Linked DNA regions of Lepisosteus oculatus. The protein of the gene in region 2 purifies or fractionates together with the protein of the main gene of each other region. This does not show direct contact. Links are inferred from orthologs where the notes say so. Each region holds a gene or a part of one and is shown on either strand. Other genes may lie near its edges.

What was found. Proteins that work in one complex are often made in the same cells at the same time.
Region 1: the proteins of dusp2 (region 2) and mapk1 purify together in Homo sapiens (affinity purification with mass spectrometry; 4 studies listed by BioGRID and IntAct, with this or other methods). This does not show direct contact. The link is inferred for Lepisosteus oculatus from reciprocal best matches to the Homo sapiens genes DUSP2 and MAPK1.

The regions. Positions count from the first base shown.
Region 1 is NC_090717.1:1,962,747-1,969,804, reverse strand, and holds the start of mapk1 (mitogen-activated protein kinase 1), read left to right. Parts: upstream 1-4,034; 5' UTR 4,035-4,337; coding exon 4,338-4,483; intron 4,484-5,614; exon of another isoform or gene 5,615-5,901; coding exon of another isoform or gene 5,902-5,924; intron 5,925-7,058. UniProt on the Homo sapiens protein: Serine/threonine kinase which acts as an essential component of the MAP kinase signal transduction pathway. MAPK1/ERK2 and MAPK3/ERK1 are the 2 MAPKs which play an important role in the MAPK/ERK cascade.
Region 2 is NC_090697.1:65,321,970-65,329,027, reverse strand, and holds the start of dusp2 (dual specificity protein phosphatase 2), read right to left. Parts: upstream 3,005-7,058; 5' UTR 1-3,004. UniProt on the Homo sapiens protein: Dephosphorylates both phosphorylated Thr and Tyr residues in MAPK1, and dephosphorylation of phosphotyrosine is slightly faster than that of phosphothreonine. Can dephosphorylate MAPK1.

The DNA.
Region 1 (7,058 bases), on a different chromosome or scaffold from region 2:
TGTAAGTTATATATATCGTATGTAGCTTTTTTCTGGACACTCCACTCAAAGCGCATTACAGGTAATGGGGATCCCCTCAACCACCACCAGTGTGCAGCCCCACCTGGATGATGCGCCAGTCTGCCCCCCACACACCAGCTCTCAGTGGGAAGGAGAGCAGAGAGATGAACCAGTTCAGAGATGGGGATTATTAGGAGGCCACGATTGGTAAAGGCCAGGGGGTAATTTGGCCAGGACGCCAGGGTTACACCCCTACTCTTTTCAAGAAACGCCCTGAGATGTTTAATGACCACAGAGAGTCAGGACCTCGGTTTTACATCTCGTCTGAAAGACGGTGCCTTTTTATAGTATAGTGTCCCTGTCACTACACTGGGGCATTAGGACCCACACAGACCGCAGGATGAGCACTAACACCTCTTCCAGTAGAAACCTTAGCTTGAAAAGGAGTCTCCCTTCCAGGTACTGGCCAGGCTCACACCTGCTGAGCTCCAGTGGGCTGCCAGCTGTGAGCTGCAGGATGATATTACAACGCCAGGCAGCTGTAGATCATGTGTTGCTCTCCATCCATCTTCGAACCACTTGATCCAGTCCAGGGTCACAGGGGAGCTGGGGTTTATCCCGATAAGCAACAGGTGCAAGGCAGGATACACCCGAGATGAGATGCCGGTCCATCGCGGGGCAGACAGACGCAAATGGACATGCACACACACCAGGGCCACGTTTCCCAAAACCCAATTTACTTTTCAGGTTAATTTGGACTGTGAGAGAAAAAAAAGTGTGTGCACATGGAGAGAACATACAAACTCCCAGCTGATGGTATCCCAGCCTGGAATGACAGAAGGAGGAACTGAACCCAGGGTCCACCATAGCCAGGCAGCAGTGCTGACCACTGTACCTATGGTTAAACAATTCAATGTGCTTTCACCATGCTGTACCTCACTCATTCACTAAGCATCACCACAAACCAACAGACACAAGTGGAAACTAACAGGGAGTACATTTACAATTAAGAACTGGAGGCACTGTACACCAAGGATGGTGGGGGTCTGGAACAAACTACCCACACGTTGTGCTGAAGCCAATGCCCTGGCTTCATAGATAAGAAATGGATGAGTTCATCAGCGCAATTAGCTTTGTCAAATCAAACTAGATGGGTCAAATTGTGCCCCCTTCTTTCTGTCCTTACAGTTTAAGGGATACCACCATTTACGATTTGTAAGAGTCAGTAACCTTCACCAGCAGTTCTCTAGTTCTGTCCCCAGCAGCAGCTTTCTAGTGGTTAATTAGGTCTCTTTCAAATGTCCAAGTCAGAGAAGTTGCTTTTGGTATAAAATAATGAAATTTTGTGAATCACCTCAGGAAACTAAAAAAAAAGTGGTGCACAGTGGAGTAATAAGACACAAATCATGACAAATTCACCCAGTGACTCAGAGAGTACAACCACATTCCACAACACAAGCTTTAACAGCGGGATAGGTCTTTAAATAAGTTCTGAAATGGGCAGTCTCTGATGGATTTGGGCAGTGCCTTTTACTGATGCAGAGCATCATGTACTGTGGGGAGCCTGGATTTGAGCAGAGTAAGAATCTCAAATTAAGATGAAGGATTGTGGCAAATGTTTCAGATAACCTGGAGTCATCTGTCTAAGATTTGAGTGGGAGAATAAGATAACATAAGATCATTTTTTTTTAGCCATCTACAATTTCTTGCATTAGGAATTTGTCTTTTCAGAAACCCCAGCTTGCTCTCCATGAGACACACAGACAGGGAGAGAAGCTTGGGGTCAGAGCGCAGGGTCAGCCATTTATACGCCACCCCAGGAGCAGTTGGGGTTAAGGGCCTTGCTCGGGCACCCAACACAGTGGGATTTCTCTGCCAGCCATAGGATTTGAGCCAGCAAGCACAGCTACAAGCACAGATCCTTCACCACAAAGCCACCACTCCACGCCTAAAGAAATCTCAGTTTGACAGCTGGGTTCGAACCCCCAACCTGAGGCATAAAAGGCACATGCTTAAGCCAGATTTCTGAGAATACTGTAGCCTATTCAATACTTTCAAAGATATTTCATTTGGTGAGGCACGACATTAGTCACTGATCGTGACTAAAAGGTAAGAATATTTCAGCTTCAGACAGTGTCTTAAATAACGTTACACGAGTGGAAGAAAGTTACGGTAATAATTATCCATAATTGGTCATCTTGATTGTTTAGCTCAGGTCTTCTGGTGAAACGACTTCGGTTCAAGAGGTCGTTTTGCGTCTTTCACACACGTAACCTTTTGACGGGGTCATTGAGATGTTATTACGAAGTTAAACCACAAGGTGGCAGTAAATGAGACAGCAGTAATCGCCTACTCCGAATATCCGTGAGTATCCGCGCATCCTCATCAGTTTTAAGAAACTCCACTTAAAGCACTTTACAGGTAACTCCACCACCAGTGTGCAGCCCCACCCGGATGATGCGACAGCAGCCAGAGTGCACCAGTACACTCCCCACACACAGGAGCTAAATTGGGAGGAGAGCAGAGTGATGGAGCCAGTTCAGAGATGGGGATTATTAAGAGGCCATGATGGGTAAAGGCCAGGGGGAAATTTGGCCAGGACACAAGGGTAACACCCCTACTCTTTTCGAGAAACACCCTGGGATATTTAATGACCACAGAGAGTTGGGACCTGGGTTTTATGTCTCATCTTAAGGACGGTGGCTTTTTTCAGTAGATTGTCCCCGTCACTGTACTGGGGCATTAGGACACACACAGACCGCAGGGTGAGCGCCCCCTACTGCTCCCACTAACACCTCTTCCAGCCTCAGCTTTCCCAGGAGTCTCCCCTCTATAAGAAAAGACAAATCAAACGGCTTCAAGGAGCCACTTTTCAAAGTGAACTTCTTTGGCACAAATGCGCTTATAGTTTCACTGCCACGGCGCAAGTAATAGTTAAATTATATACTTTAGTAACGCTTTTCATTTTAAATAACGAGGTAAATCCCAGGCATGATAAAACACGAAACATACTAAATTCTCTACTGGTTTCCTTCTCTAAGTTAGATTCTTACTAGCAACCAACTGCTACAGGGCTGAACTGGCCATTCCAGACAAAACCGAGAACGACAGAGGAAACGCTCCCCGATTTTTTTTATGCCTTCTGATGTCTTTTTTGCAGATCTCTCCGTCCGACAGGCGGGTGGCGGCGGTGTGTAGGAACCAGCTCGTGTTTACAGGCTCCGAAAGGGCCGTGTAATCATTTTCTCTGAGTCACGTTTCCTGCGACTTCGGGCAAAGCAGATCCTCTTGTGTCACTCTGGGGGGATGACGAACTGGGGGAAATCTCTGCAGTGGGCTCTGTTGCATTTCCATCGGTGCCAAACGACAGGATTTTCTTGGCCTTTTTTTTTAGATATCATTGACCGCTCCCGCAGGTCTTGCGGTTGATCTCACTGTGTATCATCGGCGGCTTGACTCCGCCCTGCCCAGATCTGACAGATTAAAAAGTGGCGTTATCAGATTGAATCACATCTTCTTTTTTTTTTACGCTGTATTATCGTTTCTCACTGGCGAAAACCATCACCCGCTGTACGCGTAAAGATAACTACAAAATGCAGTGTTCGTGCAGTCCATCTCCAAATGAAAACAATTCTAACAGAAATCATTAATTCGGATATACGAACGGAATTCTCATATGCAATATGATTTCAGGGAAACAGAAAATAAAAGCGATACAAAAACATAGTTGTCAAAGAGACTCCGGGACAGTTTAAATGCACTTTTGTACAGCAACTCTGCTCTTCCATGAATTAAATCTTGAACTCTGGATTGGGCCATCAATTAGAATCGGCTCCTGTCCAGTTGCAAAAAAAAAACAATAATTGATTCAGCTCCTGGTTGCTCCAGAGCCGAGCAGTCCCTTGCTGTCTGTCCGAGAAGACCAGAGACCCCCAGCCGGCGTGACAGGCTCCCCCGTCCCCGCGGCGCAAGCGCACCCCCCTCACGTGACCGAGTCCTCGCTCTCGCCCCTGCGCTCCCCGGTCACATGACCAGCCCGTTATTTCCTGCAGTGGAGCTGCCTGCCTGCCGCAGTCTGCGGGCGAGTCTACAAGGTTGCTAGACTGTAGCAAAGTAATCCACGGCTCGTCTCCCCCTCCCTCTCACCATCCTGACAGGCGATCAACAGGCCGTACGGTTTCTTCGGCTCCTGGGACTGAAAGCTCGTTTGTTCAGGTTTTTTTTTTCCGGCCCCTTCCCCTTCCTCGTAGCTAGGACTTTTTCTTCCCAGATTTTCTGTTTTTTTTCCTCTTCTCCCACCCATCCTTCTGCGTGTGTGTGTGGGCAGCTAGTTAACAATGGCGACAGCCGCGGTATCTGGTGCTGCAGGCGGCGCCCCCAACACCGGATCGGGAGCCGAGCTGGTCCGTGGACAGGCCTTCGATGTGGGTCCCCGCTACAGCAACCTGTCCTATATCGGCGAGGGGGCCTACGGCATGGTGTGGTAAGTTGTGTTCGGGGGCCGGGGGGGCTGGACGCCACGGCCGCGGTGTCTTGAGTCTCTCGGCGCTGGGTGCTGTGTGCACGGCCGGGCGAGAGAGGCTCCAGACCTGCCGGCGGAGGAGAGGGGGGAAACTCAGTTCGTGCTACACATGCATGCAAAGTTTTTTTTTTTACGGTTTTTCTCCGTCCGCGCTGTCGGGGAAGCTCGCTCGGTGTCGGGACTCGCCGCCGTCGTACTTGTTGATGGAGCCGTGAGGCTGACGGACCCCGAGAGTGAGAGAGAGAGAGGTCTGCGAGAGCCGGATTGGGAATGTTGGGTTTTTTTTTGTTCCGATGTGTCATTGATTTTCACTTTTCAATGCAGAGAAGGGCAACACCCTTTGCCGTAAGGGGTGTAGCTAGCGGATTACAACTCGGAGCCGCCTGTGCTTGGAGCCGGCTCGAACTCTCGGGTGCTATATCATTGCTGCTTGTGTCCGCCGTGTTGTTTATTAAACAACAACATCTTTATTAAACAACAAATGCTGAAATGTTACTTGACGACGTCGCGTTTCCCGGTAAACGCGCATTATTGATATCCGTTAGCGGCTTGAAGCCCAATACCTATGGAAAGCACACCCCAAGTTTTGACAGCCGGGCAGTGGGCGATCCAGTCGGGGGGGGGGGGGGGGGGGTAGTTTTATCCAGATGTGCGCCGTTTCTGGGAACGAGCATCTCCCCGTGTCCCGCCTTATCAATCAGTGTGTTCAGTTGATAGCGCATAAATCGCTGCCTCTTTCCCCCTTGGAGGAGGGCGAGGCTCGTCGTTTGCTGCGTCGCTGTGGGGTATAGGGTGTCACACTTGGCGGCATCCCCTCGTTGGGGCATCTAAGAGTTGAATCCCACCCCCCCTCGGAGAGATCGCTTGTTGCATTTTCCGAGTTGCAGGTAAGGCGATCTCCAGCGCGAGCGGCAATTCATGGGAATGGGAAGGTGCTGATTGGCGGCCCGGCGTCACGAGCTGCGGGGAGCTCTCGCGCGGAGCGCGGCGGAATGTCCGCCCGTGTCCGCGGGGCGTGTGCGTGTGCGCGCCGGTGCCCCCGGCTGCCCACCCGAACCCAGAGGGGTCTCGGCGCAGCTCGGCTTCCTGTGCCGGAGTCGAGACGGCCGCCGGGGTCACAGCGATGCCGGTTCCGGGCGAATTTTGTTTTTGTTTTTATTTTTTACAAAAACTGTTCACCCTAGTGATTTGGAAGAAGGGGCTGGGTTTATCGAGAACGCCTTTGAAACAAGTCCCTTTTCCCGGAGTGAGTGCAGATCGCCACAAGCGATATCACTCTGTACCACGCAGTTAAGCCACGCCTAGCGATATTTATAGGAAGAGGGACGGGCCTACCTAGTTCAGCAGACAGGAGCGCGATTTATACCCCCACAAACTGAATGAATCAAAGCAGACCCGTCAGGTAATAATGTTTTGGTCCTTCGCAGCTGTGTTGCAATCGGTTCCTAGTGAATAGAAGGGTAGGAGAATGTGTCAGCGGTTTTGCTTTGTGAAAGGGGAAGGGTGCGGTTTGTGGAGTTCGTGCATCGTGCCACAGGTGTGGCGTTGTGTGAGAATGCTCTGGCCTCTTCATTAGTCCGGCCGTCACAGGTGTTCCCGAAGTTCAGATTCCTTTTCCTGATGCAGTGCGTATGCATATTCTGTGCAGCACAGTAGAGTCCCCAATAAGATGCAAGAGCCTCAAAATTTTAAAATTAAAAAAAATTCGGGACTTAGATGACCAGTTCTGCCTTGAAATGAGATTTTCACTTTTTGTCCTTTCAGGTGCGTAATATCAATTTTATCTTCGCTCCTTAACTCTTCTGAGTGATGCGTTAGAAACCGCTGGTGTGCAGGGTGCTGCTCAGTGGTTAAAGAAACCAGGATTTATCAGATGTAGAGACAGGAAATTAAGCAATGATCCTATTATACACAGCCTTGTTTGAACCTTTCTGTCGTCCAGTGGGTTTTATTTACCAGCTGCCTGCTGTACATCTAAGTTGCTGAGAGCGTCCATCTTTGGTGGCATTTATGAGGAGGCTCAGCGTTAAAAGCAAATGAGATATCGACTGCCTGAACTGATACCTCCCTCCTTTTGATGAAGATAATTGCATCTTAGGACGTAAAGAGACTCCAGAGGTTTTGTCTGCCTTCTGTGTGCAAATGCCCATGACCTGTGCGGTCTCGCAGCCTGCTTTGCCAGATCTCTTTTCGTTAGACCTTACTTTGCATCCAAGCGGAAGAAAATGAGAGATCCAACTAGCTAAGAGAGCACTGGCAGGCGCAGTGCATGTGTTATCTGAGCAGGAAGCTGAGGGTGTTGATAGAATGCATGCTTCACTGCAACAAAAACAAAGGGATATACAGTGTGGGGGGTTGTCAAATGAGTAATCTTGAAGTGATGGAGGTTCTGTGAAATGTGCTCGCAGGAAGTACGCAGGTCCTTCATTGCTGTGGATGCTGGGGAACGTTTCTCGTTGATGCTCTGCAGAGATGCAATCTGGGAGCATCTTGGATAGGAGTATGAAAATCGCGAAATGATTGATCTGAAGCGTGG
Region 2 (7,058 bases):
GGGGGAAAAGATACCTCCTTCCCCTTCAATATACTTCAGTTTATTTTTATTTACTTCACTAATGTAGACGTGGTGGACCACTGATGGCAGAGGTGATTTTTTTCACGTTGGTTGTTTTGCTACGGACTGTTCATGAATTCGGTATTTAAGTTTATGCCTCCGTTTAAGAGCTACGCCAGCGTACAGGACAGTATACTTGATGTCACGCAGATGAGGCTGGCTGTCTTCCCTTCTCGACCTTTGTCTCCTTAGTGTAACAGCTGTGAAAGACAGGCGAGGGTGGGGCGGGCCCTTAGTTTTATAAGCGCAGCCTGCCCACTGGGCCCCGCCTCTTTTCCCCTGACAAAAGGAAAAAACGTCACGGACGGAACTTCCATATATGGCGGCGGGCGCTCTTTGTCGGCGAGCCATATATGGTTAGTGGCGTCATCGCTCTTGCCAGGCCTGCCAGCACGTGGAGCTCTGGGGATACCCCCCCCGCCCCGTGTACGCGTGTGTGTGATTTGATGACATCAGCAGTCGGCGGACAAGCGGCAGCAGCAGATTTTCGTAATAAAATCCCCGGTAATTAAACTGTGGGCTTCTTAAAAACGAGCCCGATTTCTCATAAAACGACTTCCACTGAATCACGGCTGATTCACCCCAATGCCTTTTTCTTCCTTTATTTTTTTGGAGGTAGTGCGATAGAGGAACATGGTTCAGGTCCAGGTTTCCCAGTGTCAGGGTAGATGTTCTGTAGAATAAGGGGGTGGTGGTGAGTTTTTCCTAAATTCTTTCTCTGTTTTCTTTGACCAAGTGCCTAACCCACTAACTCATGTCCGTTAGAAAACTGAATCCACCTCCTCCACAAACCTTCAATAACCCATATTCCATCCACTGACCCTTGTTCCCCATTTGTTTAAAGTGGGGGGTCTTGTTAATGTTTCCCCGACCCAGGTATGTGTGTATGAAGGGGCATGATTCTGGCTAGGTCCTTTTTGAAATCCCCCTTCACCTTGACCACTGTTAGACAAGGAGGGACTGTAAAACATGAACCACAACTGGAAAGTACAGAGAAGTGCATTGGGAACAGGAGGCACTTCTTTACGCAAAGGGTGGTGGGAGTATGGAGAAAGCTACCCAGCCATGTTATTGAAGCCATTAGCCCGGCTTATTTCGGGAAGGATGAGACCCTCTGATTGGATCGGGTGGCACATCTTTGCATCTTTACACAAAGGGTGGTGGGAGTATGGAACAAGTCACCCGGCCGTGTTGTTAAAACCGGTACGCTGGCTACTTTCACAAAAAGGGTGGATGAGATCCTCAGATCAATTAGCTACTAATGACCACATGGGCCGAATGGCCTCTCGTTTGTACCTGTTCCCACACAAGCCGATGAGAGGCATTAGCTACTAGCAATCTAAACGAGTGGGAGGCGTTGAGCAGCCTCCTCTCTTGCTTACCTGCCTGGAGTCTGTGGATACGTCCCTGTGGGTCTGTGTGCAGGGGAACTCCCTGGTGGGAGGGTGTGTCAGTCATTGGATCACCCGCACATCCTACCAGAACTCTCTCCTCCTCCCTCCCTCCCCCTTCTTCCTGCTGCCCTCTCCAGATCCTTCCCTCTGCCCTTCTCGCACTCCATCGCCCTCTCCCTTTCTCCTCTCGGCACGCACTCTGCCAGTTGGCTAGTGACCACGGATTTTAACACCCCCCTCTTCGGAAGCAGCAAACCCTCCAGATTAGAGCAGAAAAATCTCCAGGCAGTAATCTAAACTCAGACCCAGAGGAAAGGGCCAGTTACCCCATCTTTCAGTCTGTTAATCTGGGCTCAGCCTGGCCAGTCACATGGGCAAGCACTGCTTAGCCGTGTTCAGCAGATGTTGTGTGCTTGTGTATTGTGCAGGATGAGCTAAGCAGTGTTGAGCAGTGTAATGCGTGTGTAGAATGTGATCAGCAGTAGAATGTGTGTATTTGTGTGTGCAGAACATGTCCACAGGTGTTCGGCAGGGTAATGTGTGTGTAGATGTACAGTATGTGTCTGTGTCAGTGTATGCAGAATGTGCCCACAAGTGTTGAGCAGTAGATTGTGCGGACAGGTTGCATATGAAGTGTTGTGCAACTATACTGTGTCTAGAGGCTTGTCCTTCCCAGGGGAGCTCATTTAAACACGATGCTCCTCCGTGAGTCACGTGATCATCACAGCGATGAAAACAGATAAATATAGATATATATGTTATACATAAACAGAGCTGCAGCCTGGTACTGTGTGTGATCTCCTGGTGCAGCCTGAGGAACAGAGAGGGAGCCTCTCAATAATAATAAAGACATTGTCCTCAATGTAAATGTTTACCGATTGTTACTGTTTAGGCAGCATTGAAATCCATCACAAATGCCATTAAAGCTTTTTAAATACACGAGTATATTACATGAATACGTATCAAACGCATATTTTCGGCCCATTTTAGAGTATAGGAAGCAGGCTGGCCTGTGGACCGGGGGACTTGCAGACAGTGTGCCGGGTTCATTAACAGCAGCAGCCAGTGCTGTTGGAGTGCGTGTCTGTGTGTGCGGGGAGTGGGGGTGGAGAGGTTAAAGCAGATATCCAGGAAGTCACAGGCACACCGAAAAGAAGAATAAAAACAGAGGGTGACGCAGACATGTTCCGTTGCCTGCGCTCAGACGCAAGTGTGCAGGGGCGATGTCAGTGGGAGGATGTCGTTGTGTGTGTAAAGAGACTCGATGTGCCCGCGTCTGTGTGTGTACATGTTTGCCCACCACCTGTGGGATATCCTGTTCATGTGAGTCTGTCCTACAGGTGTCTATAAATAGCTGCAGGCTTTAGTTCCAGGAAACAGTGATGAACAGGTTGTGTAAAGCACTTAGGAGCTAACAAAGGTGGGAAACCAGTAAGACGCTGGTAAGATCTGCCCATTACAAGTGCTCTTGATCCTGCGTAATCCAGTATGTATTCCCGTATCCCTTGTACCTTTATATCTGTACATTCCTGGCATATATTCATGTGTTTTGAGACAGTAGATTGTGTAGACAGTAGATTGTGTGTGTGGAGTGTGTCCGGCGGTGTGAGACAGTAGATTGTGTGTGTGGAGTGTGTCCGGCGGTGTGAGACAGTAGATTGTGTGTGTCCAGCAGTGTGAGAGAGTAGATTGTGTGTCCGGCGGTGTGAGACAGTAGATTGTGTGTGTGGAGTGTGTCCGGCGGTGTGAGACAGTAGATTGTGTGTGTCCAGCAGTGTGAGACAGTAGATTGTGTGTGTGGAGTGTGTCCAGCGGTGTGAGACAGTAGATTGTGTGTGTCCAGCAGTTTGAGACAGTAGATTGTGTGTGTGGAGTGTGTCCGGCGGTGTGAGACAGTAGATTGTGTGTGTCCAGCAGTGTGAGACAGTAGATTGTGTGTGTGGAGTGTGTCCGGCAGTGTGAGACAGTAGATTGTGTGTGTGGAGTGTGTCCGGCAGTGTGAAACAGTAGATTGTGTGTGTGGAGTGTGTCCAGCGGTGTGAGACAGTAGATTGTGTGTGTGGAGTGCGTCCGGAAGTGTGAGACAGTAGATTGTGTGTGTGGAGTGTGTCCGGCGGTGTGAGACAGTAGATTGTGTGTGTGGAGTGTGTCCGGCGGTGTGAGACAGTAGATTGTGTGTGTGGAGTGTGTCCGGCGGTGTGAGACAGTAGATTGTGTGTGTCCAGCAGTGTGAGACAGTAGATTGTGTGTGTGGAGTGTGTCCGGCGGTGTGAGACAGTAGATTGTGTGTGTGGAGTGTGTCCGGCGGTGTGAGACAGTAGATTGTGTGTGTCCAGCAGTGTGAGACAGTAGATTGTGTGTGTGGAGTGCGTCCGGAAGTGTGAGACAGTAGATTGTGTGTGTGGAGTGTGTCCGGCGGTGTGAGACAGTAGATTGTGTGTGTGGAGTGTGTCCGGCAGTGTGAGACAGTAGATTGTGTGTGTGGAGTGTGTCTGGTGGTGTGAGACAGTAGATTGTGTGTGTCCAGCAGTGTGAGACAGTAGATTGTGTGTGTGAAGTGTGTCCGGCGGTGTGAGACAGTAGATTGTGTGTGTCCAGCAGTGTGAGACAGTAGATTGTGTGTGTGAAGTCTGTCCGGCGGTGTGAGACAGTAGATTGTGTGTGTGGAGTGTGTCCAGCAGTGTGAGACAGTAGATTGTGTGTGTGGAGTGCGTCCGGAAGTGTGAGACAGTAGATTGTGTGTGTGGAGTGTGTCCAGCGGTGTGAGACAGTAGATTGTGTGTGTGGAGTGTGTCCGGCGGTGTGAGACAGTAGATTGTGTGTGTGGAGTGTGTCCGGCGGTGTGAGACAGTAGATTGTGTGTGTGGAGTGTGTCCGGCGGTGTGAGACAGTAGATTGTGTGTGTGGAGTGTGTCCAGCAGTGTGAGACAGTAGATTGTGTGCGTGGAGTGTGTCCGGCGGTGTGAGACAGTAGGTTGTGTGTGTCCAGCAGTGTGAGACAGTAGATTGTGTGTGTGGAGTGTGTCCGGCGGTGTGAGACAGTAGATTGTGTGTGTCCAGCGGTGTGAGACAGTAGATTGTGTGTGTGGAGTGTGTCCGGCGGTGTGAGACAGTAGATTGTGTGTGTGGAGTGTGTCCGGCGGTGTGAGACAGTAGATTGTGTGTGTTTGGCAGTGTGAGACAGTAGATTGTGTGTGTGGAGTGTGTTTGGCAGTGTGAGACAGTAGATTGTGTGTGTGGAGTGTGTCCGGCGGTGTGAGACAGTAGATTGTGTGTGTGGAGTGTGTTTGGCAGTGTGAGACAGTAGATTGTGTGTGTGGAGTGTGTCCGGCGGTGTGAGACAGTAGATTGTGTGTGTGGAGTGTGTCCGGCGGTGTTGCACACTACAATGTGTGGGAGACGTGTGGGTGACTTTGGGACACATCAGAAGGGGGGATTTAGGGGGTGGTGTGGGAGCACACAAAGAGGTCTGGACTAATCAGGAGAGAGAGGGGGTGCTGTGTAGGGGTTTATTGCAGAATGCGCACAGTACGTCTGCTTGACATCTAGTTTTATTATTTTTTTTCCAAAGGCTTCGCTATAGTTTTCTCTTTTTTGTGGATAGGTTTAAAACACTAGTTTTACGGCACATTGCTATAGTTTACTGTTGAAAACGATGGGTTTTACTACACATTGGTATTCGTTACTTTGTTTAAATCATGATTTTACAGCACATTGCTTCTCTTTACTTAGTTTCACTGCACTTTGCTACAGTGTACTGTGATTTATGACATATTAATCGTGTACCACAGCAAATTTACAACGGAAATGTGCTGTGACTCACCTTCAGACCTCTGTTTTGCGCTCGGGCTGACTCAAAACCAGAGCTGTGTCCCTTTGTATCTACCATGCTGTCTCCTTTCTGCAGCCTGAGATCACCCGTGGGTGAGACGGGAGCTTTCTGCCCTCCTCCAGCTTTCTCACTCACACTCTTCCTCCACCCACTCTCTCATTCTCTTCTCCTCCCTGGCTCGGTCCCCCAAACACTCCTTTATGAGCAGGACAGATCAATCACTGTAGCATTGTGGGTTCACAGTTAGCAATCATTTCTAATCGTGGCAACCAAGCAATTCGTGTTTGCAGCTTAAAAGGAAAAGCTAAGAGAGAATTAAAAAGGTTTTAGCTGCATCTGATATGTGGTTGCAAGGAAAATAAAGTCATTCATCAACAGAAATATATAAAAAAGGTATTTATCACAAAACAAATATTTATAGGGATCAATTTTGTACTCCATTGCCAGACGTCATTCTGTCACCCACATCTCCCTGCTCTCTCAACCCTGTGTCTTTGTGCTCCCTTTCCTCTCTCTCTCGTTCCCTCTATCTCACTTCAATTCAAAGGTATTTTATCAGCCTAGCTAATAACATCACTGCGGCCAAAGGTATTACACAATTCAACAGTCCATCCGGTCTGAACAGTTTTCCGTCTCTGTCTCGCCCTTCTCTCTCTTCCTCTCAATCCACTGCCTCCCTCCTTTCTTCTGGCCTTTTCTTAATCTCATTCAGAATCCAGTATGAACTCACTCCGGCTTTCTCACTCACGATATGATAGCTTCCTCATCTCCCTCCTCTCCCCCAGCCTCAACCAGGGCAGAATGGGGCCTCCTGAGTTACTCAACCAGTAAAGCAGGTTCGAACCTGGGTCCTGTAACTAGCTGATCGTGACCCAGGTTCTCCAAGTCATGCATTAGGGCTCTCAGTGTTATCAGCGAGGAACCCACCTTTCCACCAATCAGCTTTGATCCTCCTGTATGGGGCTGTGCTTCCTGTGACGCGTTAAAAGATGATTGGCTGAAAGGTGGGCACGTGGGAAGAGTCGGTTTACACTTCCTCATTTTCCCCGTGTACGGTCTTGGGATTTATAGCGGCGATTCCAAATTGCTTGAGACAGGATATCAATGCACTTTGAGAGAGCTATGAGACACCTGTCTGCTGGCTGCTCTCCTGTTGATGATCATTAGGACTGGGAAAGTCTGGCCAAGGAATCTGGTCTCTTTCTGTCCACAGAGCTGCCTGGACTTCAACTTTAACTGCCTTGCAGAACTTGAATACCTTTAGCCTGATCTGGGCTTTCGATCAAGCAGTGTGGGACTTTCAGAGCACAAAACTGTTTTTATCTCTCTGGTTCTATTATCAGAGAATTTATAGATTTTGCTTAATATTAGATTTTTTAGCATTTAACAGACTTCATTTAAATATCTATTGGTACAGTGTTTTTTTGTATTATATCTGAACTTTTTTTATCACTCAACAGTAGTTTTAAAGCTCTGAAGCTTCTGCGATACGTTAAGTGCTGTTAAGAGTGTGGTAGGAATGTCAGATTTGTCACTTTTTGTTAATAAAGCTTGGAAGAAGTGAAATGCCTCCCTCTCTTACTCCCTTTCACGGTTTTCCACCATTCTCTGCTCCCCACCCCCACTTTCTCTTCCTCTGCCTGGGGCTGTGCATCTCGCGCACTGATACAGGAAGAGGCTGGCTGACTTCCTGTGACACAGGTAGTGGAGGCGTTCTGCTCATCAGTTCCATTGTCGCGGCAACCGCTGAGGCCGGCGCGGTCACATGACAT